Stegostoma tigrinum: one gene and its partners. The protein of the gene in region 1 interacts with the protein of each later gene in a pairwise test. Links are inferred from orthologs where the notes say so. Each region holds a gene or a part of one and is shown on either strand. Other genes may lie near its edges. The genes, in order: stub1, olfm3a and hspb1.

The links.
Region 2: the proteins of stub1 (region 1) and olfm3a interact in binary tests that used the Homo sapiens proteins (3 or more experiments, as listed by UniProt). The two-hybrid records come from large-scale screens. The link is inferred for Stegostoma tigrinum from reciprocal best matches to the Homo sapiens genes STUB1 and OLFM3.
Region 3: the proteins of stub1 (region 1) and hspb1 interact in binary tests that used the Homo sapiens proteins (3 or more experiments, as listed by UniProt). The link is inferred for Stegostoma tigrinum from reciprocal best matches to the Homo sapiens genes STUB1 and HSPB1.

Annotation. Positions count from the first base shown.
Region 1 is NC_081376.1:48,038,477-48,045,889, forward strand, and holds the start of stub1 (E3 ubiquitin-protein ligase CHIP), read right to left. Parts: upstream 3,050-7,413; 5' UTR 2,670-3,049; coding exon 2,556-2,669; intron 1-2,555. Other genes in the region: uncharacterized protein zgc:112496, read left to right, coding at 4,396-4,538, 6,085-6,178. UniProt on the Homo sapiens protein: E3 ubiquitin-protein ligase which targets misfolded chaperone substrates towards proteasomal degradation.
Region 2 is NC_081361.1:103,514,570-103,521,878, reverse strand, and holds the start of olfm3a (noelin-3a), read right to left. Parts: upstream 3,013-7,309; 5' UTR 2,956-3,012; coding exon 2,887-2,955; intron 1-2,886.
Region 3 is NC_081380.1:6,802,401-6,810,170, reverse strand, and holds the start of hspb1 (heat shock protein beta-1), read right to left. Parts: upstream 3,104-7,770; 5' UTR 2,879-3,103; coding exon 2,518-2,878; intron 1-2,517. UniProt on the Homo sapiens protein: Small heat shock protein which functions as a molecular chaperone probably maintaining denatured proteins in a folding-competent state. Plays a role in stress resistance and actin organization.

The DNA of each region.
Region 1 (7,413 bases):
TAATATAGTCCTATTATTCAATCCTCTGGAGCAAAAAAAATCCATAAGCGACCTATAACTCAAAAGGCAAAAGAAACATCTTCAAAACATTGACAAACTTTATGTCACTAATCTCTGGAGGGATAGGGTACAAAATAAAAAGAACCAGCTCGAATTCTGAACATCGAAACAGCAAAGTTTCAATATCATAGGGAAAGCAGAGCCAAAGAGATGCCAAAATATCAGTAAAAGAATTGAGCCATCAGAGTGTCTTCAAACATAGACTAACAGGAGTAAGAGGTGAAGGCACTGAACTATGAAAACAGTCAACACTGAATAACGAGGATCAATTCTTTCTGTTCTAAGAAAGAAAAATTGAATCACTCGCCAGAAATAAAGAAATACCATATTCATTGTCATATCTTGTGTGCTTTGTTTCAAATGCAATGATCTTGTAAAAATTGTTAAAAAAGGCAATCGACCACATTTAGCATCCAATGATCACACAGCCTAAAAGATTTACGTATCAAGGGTCTGCCAGCACAATGCCCCTTGACTGCATAATTCTATCAATTACCAACTCGTCTGACAGTCATGCATTGTGAGAAGGGTTCCATTACTGAATCATGTAGAAGTGATGCAAAATGAATTTTTTAAACTTTACTGTTGTGATCTTAAGCATAATGGTGCACTCGCACACGTGCGCACAATTACTGCAAGTGACTAGTTTTTTTTTAAAAGAAAGAGTAAAACACTTCAGTATTTACAGGACCAGAATAGCACTATACACAAGTATATAAGAGACAGGAACAGAACCGGGCCATTCTTCCCTTTAACCTGGTCTGCCATTCAATTAGATCTGCCAGATCTGATTGCAAACAATTCCACTTTCCTTCCTGATGACTTTTGACTCCCTTGGGGTCAAAAATCTGTCCAGCTCAACTGTCCAGCTTAACTATATTTAATAACAGTTTCCACTGCTCCACTGTGGTAGACAATTCCGGGGATTAATAACCCTTAGAAATGTAAATTATTTTCTATCTTGAATGACACACATCTGATTCTGAAACTCTGCCCCAAGTTCTAGTCACCCGTATGAGGGAAAAAAACACCCTCTTAGTATCTAACCTGAAAAGCCACTTCTGAATGTAAATCGAGAAAATCACCTTTCACCTTCTTAAATTCAAGTGGGTACAGGAGCCAACCTGCTCTATCTTACCTCACAAAACAAGCCCTTCATTCCAGGAATCAAATTAGAGAAGCTTCTCTAAACTGCTCACAATTTGCAAGCACATTCCTGGCAAAAGGGGCAGCACAGTGGCTAGCACTGCAGTCTTACAGCACCAGGGGCCCAGGTTCGATTTTACCCTCTGACGGCTGCGTGTGGAGTTTGCACATTCTCCCCGAGTCTGCGTGGGTTTCCTCCAGGTTTCCTCCCACAGTCCAAAGTTGTGCAGGTTAGATGGATTGGCCATGCTAAATTGCCCATAGTGTTCAGGGATGTTTAGGTTAGGTGTGTTAGATGTGGGAAATTAGGGGAATGGGTCTGGGTGGGATGTTGTTCGGAGGGGTTCTGTAGACTTGTTTTGCCAAATGGCCTGTTTCCACACTGTAGGGATTCTAAAACAGAGATCAAAAGTGCATTCATACTTAACTGCGGTACCACATATGTCCTATGCAGGAACAGCTAGACATTTTATACTTCAGCCCCTTGCAATAAATTCCAACATCCTATTTGAAACCTTAATTATCCACATGCCAACTTTTGTTAATCATGTCCAAGGGCACCCAGGTCTCTTTGTACGACACCATTCTATAGTCTCTCTCCATTTAAATAACATACTGCTTTTCTATTCTTCCCATCAAACAACACGTTTTTCCACCTTGTACTCCATCTACTAAACAGTTACCCAGTTATATGACCTATCTACAGTACATACTTTTCCAAACACTGATTCCTCCTCAGAGCTTTGCATTTTATACCAATACCACAATATCAAAATGGCTGAGTGTAAAAAGACACATACAGAAGTAAGAGCCTGTTACAATACTGTGATCTAATAATGCTTTCAACAGCATTATAAACAGCCAGGAACAACTTTAGGTAATTTCTGATCACACAGATTCCAAGATTCATCACTTAGACACAGACAGTCTTGTATACACAAGTCCTACGAATTGATGCAACAAGTTCATAGACGTATTTTCAAATAGTCATCTACTTTCTGATTCAGGTAATCCCTCTAGGCATACAAACGCACAGAATTAAACGCTTATATCTGCTGGATTTTGAGCCGTCGGCGTTGAGTCATATAGCTGCACCGAATAACCAGACCCTGAGATAACAAAGTGTAAAGCTGGATGGACACAGCAGGCCAAGCAGCATCTTAGAAGCAGACCCAGGGCATGACTGCTCATCCTGAAGGGTCACCTGAACCCTTTCGTTCTGGCGTTTGGCATTCGAAAATTATAAAGCAGGAGTGACAAAGCATAATGAATGAGGGGCATTTCATGAGCTCGGGGGGTGAAGAGGTTTTGTTCCGTGGCCTCTCCCCGGCACCGGCCGAGATACTCACAATAGCCTTGCTGTAGGAGGCCGCGGCTTCCTGATACTTTCTGCTGAGGAACAGGCGGTTTCCTTGCTCCTTCAGCTCCTGAGCAGTCAGGCTCTTCTCGGGGCTTCCGGACATGCTGCAGCTTTACCTCCCCCCGCACCCCGGGTGAAAGCAGGACACAGGGGGGAAAAGAGAGAGAGGGGGTGAAGTAAAACCCGGCTTCCCCGCAGCTGCTGGAAGGCCTGAGGGTGTAGGACAGTCCCCAGGCTGTGAGGGAGCGTGTGGGGAGTCCTAGGCCTAGGCCCAGTGGTCGGGGGAGGGGCGGCTGCGCTGATATGAGGAACCTCCGGGGGGAATGAGGCCGGCCTCAGGCGCTCAGAGGCGGGACACACCGGGCGAGGAGGAATCGGCCCGAGGAGCGGCGCCCGCTGTTTGTGTACAAACCGCACGCAACCGGCCGCGCACAACGGCGTCATCCGCCGCCGACGTGAGCGCGCCCGGTGACGGCATCTCCCGGCGCGGCGGGCGCCCGTGTCGTCCGCCGCCGCGTCCGCTGAACTCATCTCCTGGCGCCGCTACGGCCGAGTGAGCGATTCAGGACGCGACGGTAGCCGCCCCCGTGAAGCAGGACCGCCGCCATCTTGATAATGGAAATCTTCCTTTCCTCCCCATAACCGCTCCATCCCTCCGCCGCTGTGTGACCAGGATTGATACCATTAACTTATAAAGTCGGGGTAAATATTAACTAACCCAGAGAGTGGCGACTGTGATTGATTGACTGCCTGAGGAGGATGATAAGAATCAGGAACCCTCAGCACGTTGAAGACGTTTTGGGATGAACATTTGAAACGTTGGAGCACACAGGAACCTTTATTGGTGCGGGTGGTGTGTCCCCACCTCTGGGCCAGAAGTCCTGGCTTCGAGCCCCACCTGCTCCGGAGGTGCCTAATAACGTCTGTGAACAAGTTCAGATAAAAAAAAAATCTAGACGGCTAAGGACCAAGTGCGGGAAAATGGGATTAGAATGAACGAATGGATGGTTGTCTGATGACTAGCAGTGTTATGATGGGCTGAAGGGCCTTTTCCTCAAGCTGTTTACAATTCTACGATTTCTTTTTCACAGCGGGTCTTTGGAACTCTGCCAAAAAAACCGTGGCAGTAGAGTCCCTGAATATTGATTGTTTTCTTTAAATCATTATGGGATGTGGGCATTTATTGTCCACCCTTAATTGCTCAGAGGGCAGCTAGGAGTCAACCAGATTACTGTGGATTTGGAGTCACATGTAGTCTAGACCAGAAAAGGATGGAAATCTCCTTCCCTAAAGTGCATTAGCAAATCAGATGGGTTTTCCCACAACAATTGACAGTGGATTCATGGTCAACATTAGACTCATAATTCCAGATATTTATTGAATTCAAGTTCTAAAAGTCTGCATTGCTAGGAATCAAACCCAGGTCCCCAGGACCTTAGATAATAAAATGTGAGGCTGGATGAACACAGCAGGCCAAGCAGCATCTCAGGAGCACAAAAGCTGACGTTTCGGGCCTAGACCCTTCATCAGAGAGGTTAGGGTTAGGGTTAGGGACCTTACTTGGGTTTCCCTAGATTAACAGTCAAGTGATAACACCACTGGATCATTCCTTCCCACTTGGTGGTGAAATGTTGTCTTGGGGAGGTGGGTATGTGGAATGATCAAATCATATTGAATGTTCTATGGACTCAAGGCACTCAGTGACCTACTGCTTCTGATTTGTACATCCCTAAGGTTTGTGTTTCAAAAATGATTAGTGCAACAACATTTGTGCAGTTATAAATGTCATTTTTATTTGCAGGTTGAAACTGCTTAATGAATAAAGTAACATGACCGGACATGAAATATTGTTTAACTGCAAGAATCCTACCGTATGGAGGTCCATTTTTGCTCTCTATGGGGATGTGGTTGAAGCCAAGGCAATGGCATCCAAAGGGAAGAAAACAGGCAAACTGACTGCACTGGATAAATGGTGAGTTGTTTAGCTTTCTTCCCTAATTTAAAAGACAACAGCTCATGAATTACTTTTGGGGAAGGGCAAGTGGAGGGTTGACTAGAGACAACTCATATTGTAACGTTTATTTGAGTTCTTTGGGAAATTTAAGTACTTAGGCCTGAGACTAAGGATTGAATTTTCATAATGGGTTGAATGTCAGAGAATTTCCATATTTTCTAAGCCTGCCTCTTACCGGACAGTGCTCACCAGTGTTATATTCATCTATGCATACTTTAAGTTATAATTTTACAGCATAGCTGTGTCTTTGAGTGCATTTTTTCACGTGTTTTCACAGTGTACATTAGCTTGAGCCACAAAACAGCAATGAAACCATTAACCCTTAATTTTGACCTGGATTTATGGCTCTATTCTTTAGAGAAGTTGTTTAACAAGTAACCGCGATTAATCAGAATATCCTCGAGTGCTCAAATAATTAAAATTATTAAATTACTATTGAAAATTGACTCAATCCGGCACCAAGAATTGATTAGAGTCTGATCGTGATAGGAGTGACAGGGCAGCAGGGTGGCTCAGTGGTTAGCACTGCTGCCTCAGCGCTAGGGACCTGGGTTTGATTCTGTTCTCGGACAACTGTCTGCATGGAGTTTGCACAGCCTGCATGGATGTCCTCTAGGTGCTCTGGCTTGCTCCAACAGTCCAAAGATTTGCAGTTTAGTTGGATTCGTCATGCTAAAATTGCCCACAGTGTCCACGGACGTCTACGTTAGATGGATCAGCCATGGGAAATGCAGGGTTATTGGAGTAGAGTGGGGATTGAGTTTGGATGGGGTATTCTTTGCAGGGTTGGTGTAGACTCAATGGACTGAATAGACTCCTTCCATACTGTAGGCATTCTATGAGGGGAGTATGAACCTTTGTGTGGATGCAAACATGAGCTGCCTCAGTCAAAGTATTTTAAGAATGATACCTATGGGGAGGCTGGCATATGAGAACATTCGGAAAACTCAGCCAGGAGGTTATAAAGATGAAAGGTCAAAGATTCTGATGGTCACTCAGGGCAGCTTATAGTGTCAATACTATCAGACCTGGAGAAAATGTTCCCAGTCCTGGCCCATTGTTGTAAATGCTCTATTGCTTAAATCGAGCTTTTCTGAGCTCTATTTATTTTCCAAAGTTGCTGAGGCCCAGGAGATCCAGCCATCATTAGTTCACAATATAAAATCCATTAAAGTGCAGCTTCCATTTAACAGATTGTAATAATTGACTGATCTGAGGGTGAGTTGCAGTCTGTCATACTTGTTTTTGATAGATACAAATTTTTGATAAATGATACAAGCGAACAATTGAGTTTTGATGGTGTTGATTAAGGGAAGACTATTGGTCAGCAGACTGACAAAATACTCTAGTGCAATCAATGTATTAACTAATAGCTAGGATGTCATTTTAATAAAAATGCAAATGGTGTTTGGTCTGTAATAAGGAAATGAACAGGTTATTTAAAATGTTTGCTCACTCACATGTATTTATGAGCAATCTGGTTGCTGATTCTTCTCCAACTCAGGTATCAAGAAGAATTACCAGAAGCTCTCTGTAGTCGCAAAGAGAAATTCCTCACTCACGCAGAACTGGTTCAGTTGATGGAGTGGAAACTGACAGTAAGTCTGCCATGTAGGGTTGGATTTACATATTAAACACCAAGGTTGTTTCTGGATGTTTCTGTACCTCAAATTAGTATTCAAGGATGGGGATACTTATTTATCCCCTCCTCCATACTTGGTTCCTGGCCTGAGACTTACGCAGGCTGGGATCAAATCTGCTACTCCAGGGCTTTAGAGGAGCTCTCTTTCATGTTTAAATCCAGAAGACCAGCCCTTCCTTTTACAGAGGATCGGGGGAAGTCTTGTGGTGCAGTGAGTAGTGCTGTTGCACCATGACCAAAACAAGCCCTGGGTAAACAGTGTACATACAATAATACAGCATTTAAACTACACTAAATGCTATTGTTTAGAGTCATCCTGGAAGATATTGTTAATAATGTACAATTGCTGTCACAACAGTTGAAACAGACTCTGAATTATTTTAAAAATGAATTGGAGTTGGTTGTATGATGGCAATTAGTTTCTATTGAATAATTCAGTAGAACCTCTTTGGCAACTTTTCACACAGAGGATTGCTCGCATGTGGATTAAACTGCCAGTGGAAGTGGTGGGTGCAGGTACAGTTACAACATTTGTAATATATTTGGACAGGTACATGAGTAGAAAAGGTTTAGAGGTTTATGTGGGCCAAATGCAGGCAAGTGGGAAAGTTTTAGTTTGGGAAACTTGTTGTAAACTAATTGAACAAAAGGTCTGCTTCCATGGACTATGACTATCTGGGGTCCAAAGCTTCCCAGACTAAGTGGGTGTGAAATGCAAAACTGTGTTCTGTATCACTTTGTGGTTTGTTAGCCATGGGAAGAATTTAATAATTAACCTGCTAATCTATTCAACATGTCCGTGAAAAAGCAGGAATGCGTCCTAATCAATCATTCTTGAAGTGGGGTAGTGCACTTCAAGTTATAACCACTTGTCTCAGAATAGAGGGAGATACCCATTGTCCCTTTACAATTGTGAAAAGCTGCCATAATCTAATCAGACCATAAAGCTGCGCTCTCATTAGAGAGAGATGGTGGTTTAACGTGAGGACCACCACGCCTCAGTTGAGGAGAGATTTGAGAAGGGGAGTCCTTCATAGTGCAGGAATTAAACCCACACTGTTGGCATCACTTTGCATCACAAACTAGCTATCCAGCCAACTGAACTAACCAAGCCCTTTAGAGACTGTAACTGCTCACAGACAAAATAACAGAAATTCTTCCTTTGGTTTTTACCATTTCTGGTAAGATTAA
Region 2 (7,309 bases), on another chromosome or scaffold:
TCAAAGGGTTGGATCGCCAGTGGTGAGAATTTTGGGGATAACTTTCAGTCATTAGGGAAAAGGATAGGGGTAGTAGAGAAGTTGTGTCTAAATTGGAGAAAGACCAATTTCAATAATGTGATAGGATCTGGTAAACATTGACTGGGAACAGCTATTTGCAGGTAGGTCAAATTTGGAAAGCCTTTTGAAAGTAGTCTCGTGAGATTTCCAGGGCCAGTGTGCTTCTCTAAAAGCAAAGGACAAGGCCAGCAAATCCAGGGAACCCTGGATGTTAGGGGACATAGAGAATTTGTTTAAAAAAAAAGGAACAATATGTCAGGCACAGTGGTATTTAAAACTTATAGAGTGTAGCAGTTGCTTATAAAAGAAATTAAGAATACAAAGAAGGGCTACAAAACATCTTTGGCAAATAAAATTAAGGAAAACCCAAGACATTTTACAATTATTTTAGGAGTAAGAGGATAACCAGGAAAAGAGTGGGGCCTATTAGAGAACAAAGCAGCAATCTGTGTGTGGAACCAATGGACATCAGGGAGGTCTTAAATTAATATTTCTCATCTGTGTTCACAAAGGCGAAAGACATTTTGACCTGGGATTTCGGTTGGGATGGTGAATCTCCAGGAAGTGTTAACTTTAATAATAAGGATGTACATAAATCACCAGGGCCTGAGAAGATGTATCCCAGGATGCTATGGGAGGCAATGGAGGAGATTGCTGGGGCCCTGGTGGAGATATTTAATACTTTGCTGGACGTAGGTGAAGTGTCAGATGACTGGAGGATACCTAAGGCGGCTCCTTTGTTCAAGGTAATTACAGGCCAGTTAGTCTGATGTCAATGGTTCGGAAATTGTTGGAAAAAGTTGAACCCTGGTCCTTCTAAACTCCCAGTACAGGCACTGAATCCTCAAACAGTGCAGAACCTTTGCAAGAAAAACGCATTCTCCCCATAGTCTGCTGCTCTTTGTGTCTCATCTTCAACCAACCTGGACCTTTGTACTGCTCCAACTCTGGACTTTTCAGCCACCCCACCCTCCCCTCGTTGGCTGTTCTCCTGAACGTCCCTGGACCTGAGCCGATGTTCAGACATCTGAACCTGGTATCCTTTGCTTGTTTTCCGTTGTTTTCTTTTGTGATAATGTTCCTTTGACACAGATTCGGATGTTATCATACTCAATAAGTGCATGTTCTTGTTGTTAAACAATTCACCAGGGTCAGGAACATCACCAAACCTGAATCTTTAATTTACAGCCTCTGGTTGGATGGGAAATGAAGGCCCCATTGTCGCCAGTTAGAAACAGGGAGAAATCTTTGAAAATAAAAATCATAGAATCGCAGATTTGTTACCCCGGGGGAGGCCATTCGTCCCATTGTACCAGCACTCGCTTTTCAAACCAGCACCATTCCCACGGGGCAATCCCCTTGGACACGATTTCCACCCTGATCATCCCCGGATGCCAGCACACCCCCAAACCCTACCCTCTCCCCAGCCCCCGAATGCCTCAACGTCCGTTTCTTTGGGGTTAAAGATTTGTGTGTGGGTATCAGGCTGAAAGAGGGTCCACCCGGGTCCACCTGGCTCTGGGGCTCTCTCCCTCACTCCCGCTGAGAACCCCGCACTCTCTGGGCAATACTGAAAAACACGAACGTTTTCTCCGGTCAACATTACTGGAATTATTTAAATCATCCTGTCATCCACCAGATGATGAGTCTGTATTTCAGATAAAGCCAGAACAATCGGAATAAAGTGGGGTGGGGTGGGGAGGGGTGGTGTCCTGTCGGATGTAAATCAGACAACACAGATTGATACCCACAGAGACACAGAGGGACAGAGAGAGAGAGAGAGATAGACACATACCCATAGAGGGAGAGACACAGAGAGAGAGAGACACAGAGCCAGAGGGACAGGGGGAGAGAGAGTGACTGGGAGAGATACACACAGGGAGAGTGACACAGATACACACAGGGAGAGACACAGTGAGAGAGAAACAGACTTCCAAAGGGAAATACAGCCGGACACAGAGGGACACAAGACACCTACACACCCAACACATGCAGGTACATACAGAAACTGAGAAACACTCACTGTCACACATACACAGACACACACAGACATAGATACAGAGACATACACAGACTCGCACACAGATCCACTCCCAGACCCACACACACTCACTCACAGACTCAGACCCACACACAGATACACACACACAGACCCACAGACTCAGATGCACACACAGATCCACACACAGACACACACACACACAGACTCACAGACACAGACCCACACACGGATACACACATACAGACCCACAGACTCAGACAGACACACAGATCCACACACACACACACACACACACACACACACAGACCCACACACAGACCCACACACACAGACTCACAGACACAGACCCACAAACAGATACATACACAAACACACACAGACTCAGACACACACACAGACTCACACTTACAGTCACACACACAGACACAAACAGACTCTCTCACTCAGACACACACATAGACACACAGACACAGACACTCACAGACACACTCAGATGCACACACACACACACACACACACACACAGACACACACTCAGACACACACAAACACACTCACAGACACACACAGACACACACATACACTCACAAACACACTCGCAGACACACACACAGACACTCACAGACACAGACACACAGACACAGACACACAGATACTCACAGACACACTCAGACACACAGACACACTCACAGACACACAGACACTCACAGACACACACTCACAGGCACAGATACTCAGACACACACAGACACACTCACAGACACACAGGGTAATACAGCACTGGGGGAGATCTCACTCCGTGCCGCCACCGCTGTGGTCACTTACCCGGGACCCATCAAAGCCCACCAGGACCAGCAGGAGCCCGGCTCGCCAGCATGCAGCCCGTATCCGCATCTTGAGCTTGGCTCAGCCGAGCGTATCCGCCTTAACCGGTCAGTGCCAGTCCCCAATCCCCCCCCCCCCCTCGCTCGGTCAGTGCCAGTTCCCCCCACCCTCCGCTCGGTCAGTGCCAGTCCCCACCCCCCACCCCCCCCCCCCGCTCGGTCAGTGCCAGTCCCCAATCCCCCCCCCCCCCGCTCGGTCAGTGCCAGTCCCCAATCCACCCCCCCCCGCTCGGTCAGTGCCAGTCCCCAATCCCCCACCCCCCGCTCGGTCAGTGCCAGTCCCCAATCCCCCCCCCCGCTCGGTCAGTGCCAGTCCCCAATCCACCCCCCCCCCCCCGCTCGGTCAGTGCCAGTCCCCAATCCCCCCCCCCCACCGCTCGGTCAGTGCCAGTAGTTCTCTGTCTTATTTCTCTTTCTTTCTGTTGAGTTTTCTCCCTCACTCTCTGGGTTTGCTCTGTCTCTCTCCCTCCTCTGTGTCTACATTACTCTGTGTGTGTGTGTCTCTGTCTCCCTGTCTGTCCCTCTCTCTCTGACACCCCCTCCCACCCGTCTCTCTCTCTCTCTCTCTGTCTGTATCTCTCTGTCTCTGTGAATCACATCCCCAGTTCCTGCCTCTCCCTCTCCCAGTCTCACCGCCCCTGTCTTCTCACGCTCCAACCAGACGTAGCGCTGGACTCAGCCTAAATCCTGATCCTTAACTGTTGAAGAACTTTTGACCCGACCGCAGGGAATGTTTGCAGATGATCCATCCAGGCGAGTTGTGAGCCCAGGATCAGAGAGAGCAGTTTAGGAAAAATGGGATCGAATTTCCGCCAGGTTTGAGCGGGCTACAGATCTGCCCATATGGAAACTGGACCGAAAATAATCCAAACAGGCATCAGTGCTTGAGTACAATTATCTTGCCTTTTAGCAGAAATATTCAGATTTTAAATAATTTTACTCCCGAGTTTGACACAAAAGAAGAACGGAGGGGTGACATTATAGAGGTTTATAAAATCTAGAGGCTCATAGATAGGGTAAATAGATAAGGTATTTTCCCTGGGGCGGGGGAGTCCAAAACTAGGGAGGGCATTGGTTTAACGTGAGAGAGAAAAGATTTAAAAATGACCTGTGGCATGCACAACTGCAACATTTAAAAGGCATCGGATGGGCGTATAAATAAGAAGGGTTTAGAGGCATATAGGCTAAATGCTGGCAAATGGAACTAGGTCAGCTTGGGATGGTCTGCTGTGTACAGAAGAGTTGGATGGAAGGGTCTGTGTGCTGCATGACTCTATAACTGTTAGTGCTGGACATCTGAGATAGACAGAGAATGCTGAAGAAACTCAGCAGGCCTGGCAGCAACAGTGGAGAGAGAAACAGAGTTAATGTTTCAGGTCCAATGACTTCTTCAGAACTCAATGGTCTCTGACCTTTAAAATGTTAACTGTTTCTCTCTCCGCTGAAGCTGCCAGACCTGCTGAGCTTCTCCAGCATTCTCGATCTGTCTCAGATTTCCAGCACCAATAATTCTTTTGGACCAAATCAAGTCTGGCATGTGGGGAGCTTTTAAAGACCAGTTGATTAAAGTGCGGGACATGCATGTCCCTGCAAAACTGAAGGGTAGGAATGGCAGGATCCAGGAACCATGGATGAGAAGGAAATTGTAAACTTAGTCAAAAGGAAGCATACTCTGGGTCTAGGCAGCTACAAACTGACCAACGCCTTGAGGAGTTTGGAGAAATTAAGAAAGAACTAGGAATTAGGAAGGCTAAAAGAGGCCATGAAATATCTTTAGCAAACAGGGTCAGAGAGAATCCCCAGGCTTTTATGCATATATTAGAAGAAAGTGGGTAGCAAGGGAAGGAGTAGACCCCCTCGAAGACAAAGGAGGGAACTTATATGTGGAGCAACAGGAAGTGAGTGAGATCCTTAATAAGTATTTTGTATCGGTATTCACTGAGGAGAAGGACGTGACTGATGTTGAAGTCAGGGGTGAATGTGTGAATACTCGAGAGAATATCAATATATTAAAGGAGGATGTTTTGGGTATCCTTAATTGCATTAAAGTAGACAAAACCCCAGACTCACATGCGACCTGGAACATAGAACATAGAACATAGCCCAGTACAAGCCCTTTGGCCCACTATGTTGTGCCAAACCTTTCACCTAAACCTAAGGTCTATCTGACCCCTACCTAATACTATCATCCATGTGCCTATCTAATAGTCACTTAAATGCCCCTAATGAGGCTGACTCCACTACCCTCTCCAGCAATGCATTCCATGCCCCGACCACTCTCTGAGTAAAAAACCTACCCCTGACATCTCCCCAAATCTACCTCCACTCACTTTAAAACTATGTCCCCCCATAATAGCTACCTCCACCCTGGGAAAAGGTCTCTGGCTGTCTACTCTAGTAATACCTCTGATCATTTTGTACACCTCTATCAAGCCACCAGTTAGTTAAATAAGAGAGGCAAGGGTTGAAATAAATGGGGCATTAGCAGATATCTTCACACCCTCTTTTACCACAGGCAAGGCTCCAGAGGACCGGAAATTAGCCAATGTTGTTCCCTTGTTTAAGAAAGGAAGCAGGATAATCCAGGGAATTACAGACCAGTGAGCCTGAAGTCTGTGGTGAGGAAGCTGTTGGTGAAGATACTCAGGGACAGGATATATGCACAGTTGGAAGAAAATTGACTAGTTAGTGACAGGCAGCATGGTTTTGTACAGGAAAGGTCATGTCGCACCAACCTGATTAATTATCTTTGATACCTCTTAAAAAATTCAATGAGGGGAGGGCTGTGGATGTAGTTTATATGGACTTTAGCGATGTATTTGATAAAGTGGCAGCTCGGTACAAACACACGGAATTCAGGGTGGGCTGGCTAGATGGATACAAAACTGGTTTGGTCACAGAAGACAGAGGATAGCGGTGGAACGGTGTTTTTCAGAATGGAGGCCAGTAACTAGTGGTGTCCCCAGGATCAGTTTTAGGTCCTCTGTTGTAGTAAACATAAATGATCTGGAGGAAAATGTGCATGGCCTGAATATTAAGTTTGCCGATGACATGAAGATTGGTGGAGTTGCTGATGGTGCTGATGATTGTGAAAGGATACAACAGGATATGGATGATGGGAAACTTGGGCACCGAAATGGCAGATGGAGTTTAATCCCGACAAATGTGAGGTGATGCATTTTGGAGGATCAAATTTAGGTGTGAATTACACTGTAAATGGCAGAACCCTTCGAAACATTAACATTCAGATGGATCTGAGTGTGCAGGTCCACAGTTCCCTAAAAGTGCTAACCAAGGTAGCCAAGGTGATTAAGAAAGCACACGGCGTGCTTGCCTTCATCGGCTGGGGCATGGAGTACAAGAGTTGGTAAAACATGTTGCAGTGATATAAAACCCTTGTTAGGCCACATTTGGAGTATTGTGTGCAGTTTTGGTCACCAAATTACAGAAGGATATTGAAGCTTTGGAGAGAGTACAGAGAAGGTTCACCAGGATGTTGCCTGGTCTCCAGGGCATTGGCAATGAGGAAAGGTTAAAAAGACTAGAGTGATAAAATGTGAGGCTGGATGAACACAGCAGGCCAAGCAGCATCTCAGGAGCACAAAAGCTGACGTTTCGGGCCTAGACCCTTCATCAGAGAGGGGGATGGGGAGAGGGAACTGGAATAAATAGGGAGAGAGGGGGAGGCGGACCGAAGATGGAGAGAAAAGAAGATAGGTGGAGAGGGTGTAGGTGGGGAGGTGGGGAGGGGATAGGTCAGTCCAGGGAAGACGGACAGGTCAAGGAGGTGGGATGAGGTTAGTAGGTAGCTGGGGGTGCGGCTGGGGGTGGGAGGAAGGGATGGGTGAGAGGAAGAACCGGTTAGGGAGGCAGAGACAGGTTGGACTGGTTTTGGGATGCAGTGGGTGGGGGGGAAGAGCTGGGCTGGTTGTGTGGTGCAGTGGGGGGAGGGGATGAACTGGGCTGGTTTAGGGATGCAGTGGGGGAAGGGGAGATTTTGAAACTGGTGAAGTCCACATTGATACCATATGGCTGCAGGGTTCCCAGGCGGAATATGAGTTGCTGTTCCTGCAACCTTCGGGTGGCATCATTGTGGCAGTGCAGGAGGCCCATGATGGACATGTCATCAAGAGAATGGGAGGGGGAGTGGAAATGGTTTGCGACTGGGAGGTGCAGTTGTTTGTTGCGAACTGAGCGGAGGTGTTCTGCAAAGCGGTCCCCAAGCCTCCGCTTGGTTTCCCCAATGTAGAGAAAGCCGCACCGGGTACAGTGGATGCAGTATACCACATTGGCAGATGTGCAGGTGAACCTCTGCTTAATGTGGAATGTCATCTTGGGGCCTGGGATGGGGGTGAGGGAGGAGG
Region 3 (7,770 bases), on another chromosome or scaffold:
TGGTTTTTGAATAAGCTGACACTTGCCCACATTATATCCCATCATGTTGCCCATTCACTTCCGCTTTCTGTCTCCCAATGCAGTCTCACTGCTGCCTCCAGTTTACATTTCTAACCAGCTTTGTATTGTCAGCAAGTGTAGATACATTAATCTCAATCTCTTCATCTAGTCACAAATATAGATTGTAAATTGATAAGGCTCAGCAATGAACAATACTCTACTAGTCCCAGCTTGCCATCTCGAAAAGGTCTTATCCATCTCTCTGTTTCCTGTTAGGCTGAAAAATCTGACCACAACCCCAGTCAGAGACAGAAACCCTATTTCCAACCCCGATCAAATTTTAAAAATGCCCACTTCTGCCCTGGAGATTTCTGTTCTAGAGCCTTTTGGTATGAGCCAGTCTAAGCAAGCCTCAAATCCCGAAGTGCAAAGGGTTTTTGTTGAAACTACATCACCTTCTGCAGCACTTAATGCGTTGGTCTTCATTTTAAATGGTCAGCAGGCACTTTGAAATCTACTGTGAAAGGTAAGTACATACTTGAAGGGGCAGCAGGAGGGACCAGTCCCAGTGAGTGGGGGGCATGAGCCAGGTGGGTAATGGGGAAAAGTCACAGATTAGTTAGGGTCAGGTAGGTAGGGTTCCAGGGGAGGAAGAAGTGGGTAAAATGCCAGATGTGCAAGCTGAAAAAGAAGCCAGATAGATTGAGTCCCGGAGTGCCTCACAGGAGGATGAGTACTTAGGAGAGATTGCCATTTCAGTTCAGGTTGGAGCTGGGGCTGGGAAAATGACTGGGATGTTATGTTGGGTCAGACTGGGAGATATCAGTTGAGGGGTAGGAAGGTATTAAGTCGAAACATTGAGGGTGTTATCGGATTAGGTGGAGTGTTTGATCACGTGGAGGAGGGGTTGTGTTAAGAAGAGGCATTTTGGTTCTGGTGTCTCTGCAAGTGTTATGGCAGTGGGTATGGATGGTATCTGGTCAGATTGGAAGGAGTGTGGTGTTGTTGGGTCATATGCGGGTGTTGGGGTTGTGTTAGGGAGCTGTGTTGGATCAGATGGGGTGGAGTTGGTGACGGGGGTGAATGTTGGGTTGGGGTGGGCATAGTCAGGAAGTTCAGATTAATATTTACCCAGGTATTAAAACAAGTTTTAATCCTCTAAACTTTCCTGGATAACCTGTGGGCCTATGGAGTTTGAACCCTCTGAATTCTCGACTTCAAGGGACTTTTTCAGAATTATCTTGATGCAGGGAATTTGCCAATAATAATACCAAGTTCCAGTGCAATTCCCTTGGAGCCAGCTGCCTTGAGAATTTTGCATGGCCTTGATATGCAACTTCCATTTCGACTTCAGCAAGGGCGATCTGACCATTAGAATACCTATTGCTCCCAACTCCATAAACCCCTCACCTACATAATAGCACCTTACGCGTGGTACCTTATTGAAGCTCACATCCCAGTACACTACATCTACCGGTTCCCCACCGCTGGTTAGATGGGCAAAATATCCAATTAGTTGTCAAACATGCCGTCCCTTTCATAAAACTATGTTTACTTTGTCTATGAACTATGATTTGCCATGCACATTGTTCACACTCCCTTAATAACATATTCCAGCATTTTCAAAAGCCAGGTGAACTGGCCCGCAGATTTTCCCATTCTGAAGGAGAACTAGAGACGAGCAATAAATACTGGTCCAACTGGTGAAACCTACATCCCCAAAAATCCATTTACATGATTTGTTCCTCCCAGAACATGTCACCAGCCTCACTCCAGAAGCAATTTTGAGAGATGCCCTTCCATATGAGGCACAGCAGATAAGGAGATCTTCACCCTCTTGCTGCCTGCTAAAGGCGTATTAGAAGGATATTGCAGGTTAACACCTGCTTCCTTGGCATCGTGATTGAACCTCCCTCGGGCATCAAACTACTCCTCCATCCCTCAATTCATTCTCACAAATCTTCCTTCCCCAAGCCCACTCCTGTAAGACGTTACATTCATCCGAAAGAGGTGCGAGCAGAATTGGGCACAGAAGAACACAACAAGTAGAGAGGAGTAGCTCATTCGGCCCATCGTGCCTGTTTTGCCATTAAATACAACCCTGGCTTCAAATCCACTTTCCCAGCCACACTCAATACCCCTCGATTCCCCGAGAGAAGCCTCCAATCTATGCAACTCTCCGAGTACTGAGATCCCAACACCCACAAGGGGCTGAGCGAAGTAATTTCCCCTGGGCTCTGGGCCGTTGGCCAGGAACACCCTCGTTTTGCAATCCTGGGCCCTCTGACTTTCCCGACAGCAGACTGGCTAAACAATATATAATTTAAGAAAAATTAAAAACTGGGCTTTACACTAACTCCAGTCCAACAGGAAAGTGAAGGTTGGGTGGGGTGGTGATGGAATTCAGGGACTCAAAACTCTTGGCCCAGGGACTAACCCAATGAGGGGCTCTGAAAAGTATTTGGGGAAAGTTGGAAATAGCAAGACTACAAATGAAGAGATCTGGAGGGAGCTTACCAGTGATCTCCACGTACCCATCCTTGGTCTTGACTGTGATTTCTTCCGGGGCAAAGTGGTTGACATCCAGGCTGACTTTCCACTTATCTGAGGTCACTTTGATCTCGGACACTCCTGTACTTTGCTGCCGGCTCAAGCCGCTGTCCTGGCCGCTGGCAGGAGCCGCTGCCCCGCTCGGGGCCGCCAGGGACGGTCGGAAATAGCCCGGCCACATGCCGTGCCAGTCGGTGGCCGACCAGTCGTGGGGCAAGGCTGGCATCCCGAAGAACTGGTCAAAGATCCGGCCGGGGTAGTGCCAGTCCCGGAACGGATCCCAGCTGGGGCTCCGCATGAAACTGAAGGGGATGCGGCGCTCGGACATCGCGGCAGCGGGGGAGAGAGAGAGAGAGAGGCAGAGCCGGGCTAACGCTGGGCCAGAAGTGTGGCACGGCGCTGCTTTTATATCCCGGGCTATATTTAAATCAGATTCCAGCCGAGTCCGATTACAGGGTCTGCCCTCATTGGTGCGGAATTCAAGCTCTCCAGGATTCCCGAATGGTCTCTCCGATTGTCTGGATCAGAGTTTGGAAAATGAGCTTGTTGACACTAGACACAACACTCCCTCTTGCACCCATGTACACACCCCGGGACAAAGCGCCAGGAGCTCAGTTGCTTTACTTGCAGAGGGCCAGCACAGTAAGGATGGGCCCAACAACCTCGTTCTGTGCTCTGAAAATCTCTGATTGGGAAGTTGGTGTTTGGGTTTCGACTTCCCTCCCTGGGCTAGAGTAAAATCCGGTCCCCAAACGGACTGTGTGTACGATTCTGGCCACTCTGCACCCAATCTGGGCTTCTCCAGGTTTTTAAAGAAAATAAATGAAAAGAAAACTTACTTCCTGCAGGCAGAAAATACACCGTGCACAAACATCTCATATTGCACTGCACCTGTAACTCATAGAAAATCCCTATAGTGCGAAAGCAGGCCATTCTGTCCATCAAGTCCAAACCGGCCCTCCAAGGAACATCCTCTAGAACCTCCCTACTCCCCTATCCCTGTAACCCTGGCTGACCCACCTAGCCTGCACATCCCTGGGCACTACAGCATGGCCAATCCACCTAACCTGCACATCCCTGGGCACAACAACATGGCCAATCCACATAACCTGCACATCCCTGGGCACTACAGCACGGCCAATCCACCTAACCTGCAAATCTTTGGACTGTAAAAGCACAAGGAGAATGTGCAAATGCCATGCAGACAGTCAACCACGACTGGAATTGATCCTCACTCTGTATCACTGTGAGGTAGCAGTGCTAGCCACTGAGCTACCCATATAGACCATAAGACATAGGAGTGGAAGTAAGGCCATTTGGCCCATCGAGTCCACTCCGCCATTTAAATCATGGCTGATGGGCATTTCGAATGTACTTCCCTGCACTCTCCCCGTAGCCCTTAATTCCCTGTGAGATCAAGAACTTATCAATCTCTGTCTTGAAGGCATTTAACTTCCTGGCCTCCACTGCACTCCGTGGCAATGAATTCCACAAGCCCACCACTCTCTGGCTGAAGAAATGTCATCTCATTCCCGTTTTAAATTTACCCCCTCTAGTTCTAAGGCAGTGCCCAAGTGTCCTAGTCTCCCCGCCTAATGGAAACAACTTCCCAGCGTCCACCCCTTCTAAACCATACATTATCTTGTAAGTTTCTATTAGATCTCCCCTCAACCTTCTAAACGCTAATGAGTACAATCCCAGGATCCTTAGCCGCTCTTCATACGTTAAACCTACCATTCCAGGGATCATCCGTGTGAATCTCCGCTGGACACGCTCCAGGGCTAGTATGTCATTCCTGAGGTGTGGGGCCCAAAATTGGACACAGTATTCTAAGTGGGGCCTAACTAGAGCTTTATAAAGCCTCAGAAGCACATCGCTGCTTTTATGTTCCAACCCTCTTGAGATAAATGACAACATTACATTCACTTTCTCAATTACGGACTCTACCTGCAAGTTAACCTTTAGAGAATCCTGGACCAGCACTCCCAGGTCCCTTTGTACTTCGGCTTTATGAATTTTCTCACCATTTAGAAAATAGTCCATGCCTGTATTCTTTTTTCCAAAGTGCAAAACCTCGCATTTGCGTATAGCTCACACACGGACACGTAACTCGCACTAAACGTGTAAGACACAGCACGTATAACTGCAAGCGCATTTTGCATTGCGCATGCACCTCGTACTGTGCATAATGTAACACTGCCAACCATTTTATGCAGTATATCCGTCTGCACTGCTCATACATCTTGCTCTGTGCACACATGGAATGTCATGTTCACGACTAGTGAAGTGCAGTGCCTATTCCCGATGCAAAAATCATTTCCTTCTTGTTATGTGCTCTGCCATGGACCATGGGCCTGGTAGTTAGGCATGAGCTGCTTTCGCTGTGTCACTGCTACTGGAGCAATAGTCTCTACTCTGCAGCACCGTCTGTGCGTTCGCAGTCACTCCCACAATGTCATGCCGGCACAGCATTCAATTTTAGACTAGTTGCAAGATCTAGGAGAATACAGCAACAGTTATAATCAGTCTGTAACTTTCACTGCAAGTCAGCATGCCTGGTGACTGGTCAACACCTGGCCTCCATACAGGTGCAGTGTGACGTTAAACCTGCAGCCCAAAGGTAATCTAGTCTAAAGTGCAGATTGCCAAGAAGCGGACAGTCTGTTAATGATTGTTGCTGTGCTTCATGGATCTTACAACAAGTCGAAAAGATACTGTCAAAAATTGTTTTGGTCTGGTTCCTTGCTCACTACCTGGAATGAATTTCAGACACTTTTAGTTTTGCAATTGATGTAATGCAACTGTCTTTCTTCTGGTAGACTGCAATGCTCCACCTAGTGAAGAATTTGGCAAAATATGCAGTCTTTGACCAAAACACTGCTCACAAAGTCTCTGAGGAACATAATCTTGGCAAATGGCAAGATGTTACTGCAATTATCTACACATCATCTGGGCCCAGCTTCGATGCATGTGTCCAAGTCACATCCTTTATTCTTGGACCGTCATTACTTTGGACATGTCATCACGGCTGCCATCCACTTTATTACAAATCCGCCTTTGTGTTATTTCCCCAAATCTGTTGGGGCTGTCTCTCTCTATCTGTTTCACTGCTGGTCACCTGTAACACCGGCTGTCTGGTCGGGGAGCGAAAAAGCCTGTCAACTCCTGTGTAACACGCGAGTTAACAGATTGATCACCCTGTTGTTCAGGGTCTGTCCCCTTAGACTGACAGCTACCGTGGCACTATAGATGCATCTGCCTCAGGCTCTGCTGAAACTCACATCCCAGGTGGGCCTGACTACCTCTGCAGCCTGCAGCCCCACCTTACATAGAGAGACTACACCTGAATTAGTGATTACAAATCTACTCATGAAAAGGATCCATTCGGAGCAATGAGAGTGAGCTGCCAATGCACTTGGAAAATTCACTTCCAGGATCTGGGACTGGTGTGATAATCTTCTGTATTCTTTTTCATGGAATGTGGGCATTTCACCCATCCCTCATTGCCTTTTAACTGAATGGTTTGCCTCTTCATTTCAGAGGGCAGTTAGGATTTGGCTTGATTTATTTATTTTTGCATGTACTTTGTTACAAATAATGTGAAAAGTGTAATACAGTGTCACCACTCTTCAATGCAATCTTAATGCACAGCCAAATAAACCAAAACATAGAATAAAAGGTAGAAAAGCTAAAGAAATAGAGAAAAAGTGTTCAACTTTACAGTCCTCCTTGTTAAGCGCACCGCCATGGGCCATGGGCCTGGTAGTCAGGCATGAGTTGCCTTCGCCATGTTGCTGCTCCTGGAACAAAAGTCGCCAGTTTGTGGCACCGTCTTGCACCCACCAACACCCTCACCACTATGAGGCCTCACTGGACCCTGCCAATGCAGACACCACTGACGCCACTGGGTACCGCACCGGCCCAAACTCGATTCTATTGCGGCGGTGAGTCTGCTGATAGATTATTAGCCCAGTGACATTGCAACACTCTGGAATGTTGTGTAGGGGAATTTTGCATTTTCTTGTAACTCCTCTGAGAGGCATTCTATCACTTGATTAGAAATGTATTTATTTGCTTATGTATCAACAATGTGTGGTAGCCCAGCAACCAGACCAGGCATGTGGTTGATGTGTTGCTGGAGTTGTTCCCAGCCTATAATTAGTGAGGGTGGTTAGCAGCAAGGGACAGGCATCCAGCAATTCCTGAGGGCCCTTATGAAGGATGATCCAACTTTGTGGAAGCCCTGTGTGAGACTGCGATAGCCGAAAGCAGAAGGTAACCTCTGTAATCAGAATTAAGGATTTAGTAGGGGTAATGTTCGCTCTCCTCGTCCAACACTCTTGGGGAGGAAGTGAATAAAGATCTTTAAAGGGAAGAAATGTTGATGTAGTAATGTCAGAGGAGCAGGAAAGTTGATGTTTCGGGTCGGGGGCCTTTCTGAAGAAGGGTTCTGATCCGAAATGTCAACTTTCCTGCTCCTCTGATGTTGCCTGACCTGTTGTCTTCTTCCAGCTCCACGCTATGTCATCTCTGACTCCAGCATCTGCAGTTCTTCCAATCTCTCTTGATGTAATAATGTTTCCATTTATCCAAAACTAGGAAATGTATATTTAGCTGTTAACTAATACATTCAATAATGAAATCAGGAGTAATGACCTTGCCCAAGTGAAAAAGTGGAGTATTTTTCTGGATCATGGCAGACCTGATAGAAACTGAGGGATATTGAATTAGATGAGCAATGCTCAGCTTTTATAGGAAAAGAGGGCATCACAAGCTCAGTTTATTGAACACTTGGATCACTCTAAATGCGGGTTATATCTAGTACAGGAACTGGACTCAAATAAAGCTTTCACTTTGGACAGTAACAAGCATCTTTCACTCGAACTGGCTCAAGAGCATAGAATAAATAAGGCAGTCGTGAGGATTTAATTGAGGTGGGTGGAGGCAGGAAGGGTAATAGAAACATTGGGTGTAATCTTACCAGGGTATGAGTGGTGTGGGCTGTGGAGAGGTGAGTGGGAGAATCAGGCCAGAAGCTTGGTGATGCCCGTCTCAGTGTCAAGGTTTTCTCTCAGCATCTCATGGACTTTACACAGCAGTATGGCAAGATTCTCACTAGGCAGCAGCGAGTTCCAAATTGACGCTTATTATTGCTCATTAAACGTCATGTTAACAGTCTGACTCTCCACGTTTGAGAGCTTACCAAGATCGTCGTACAAA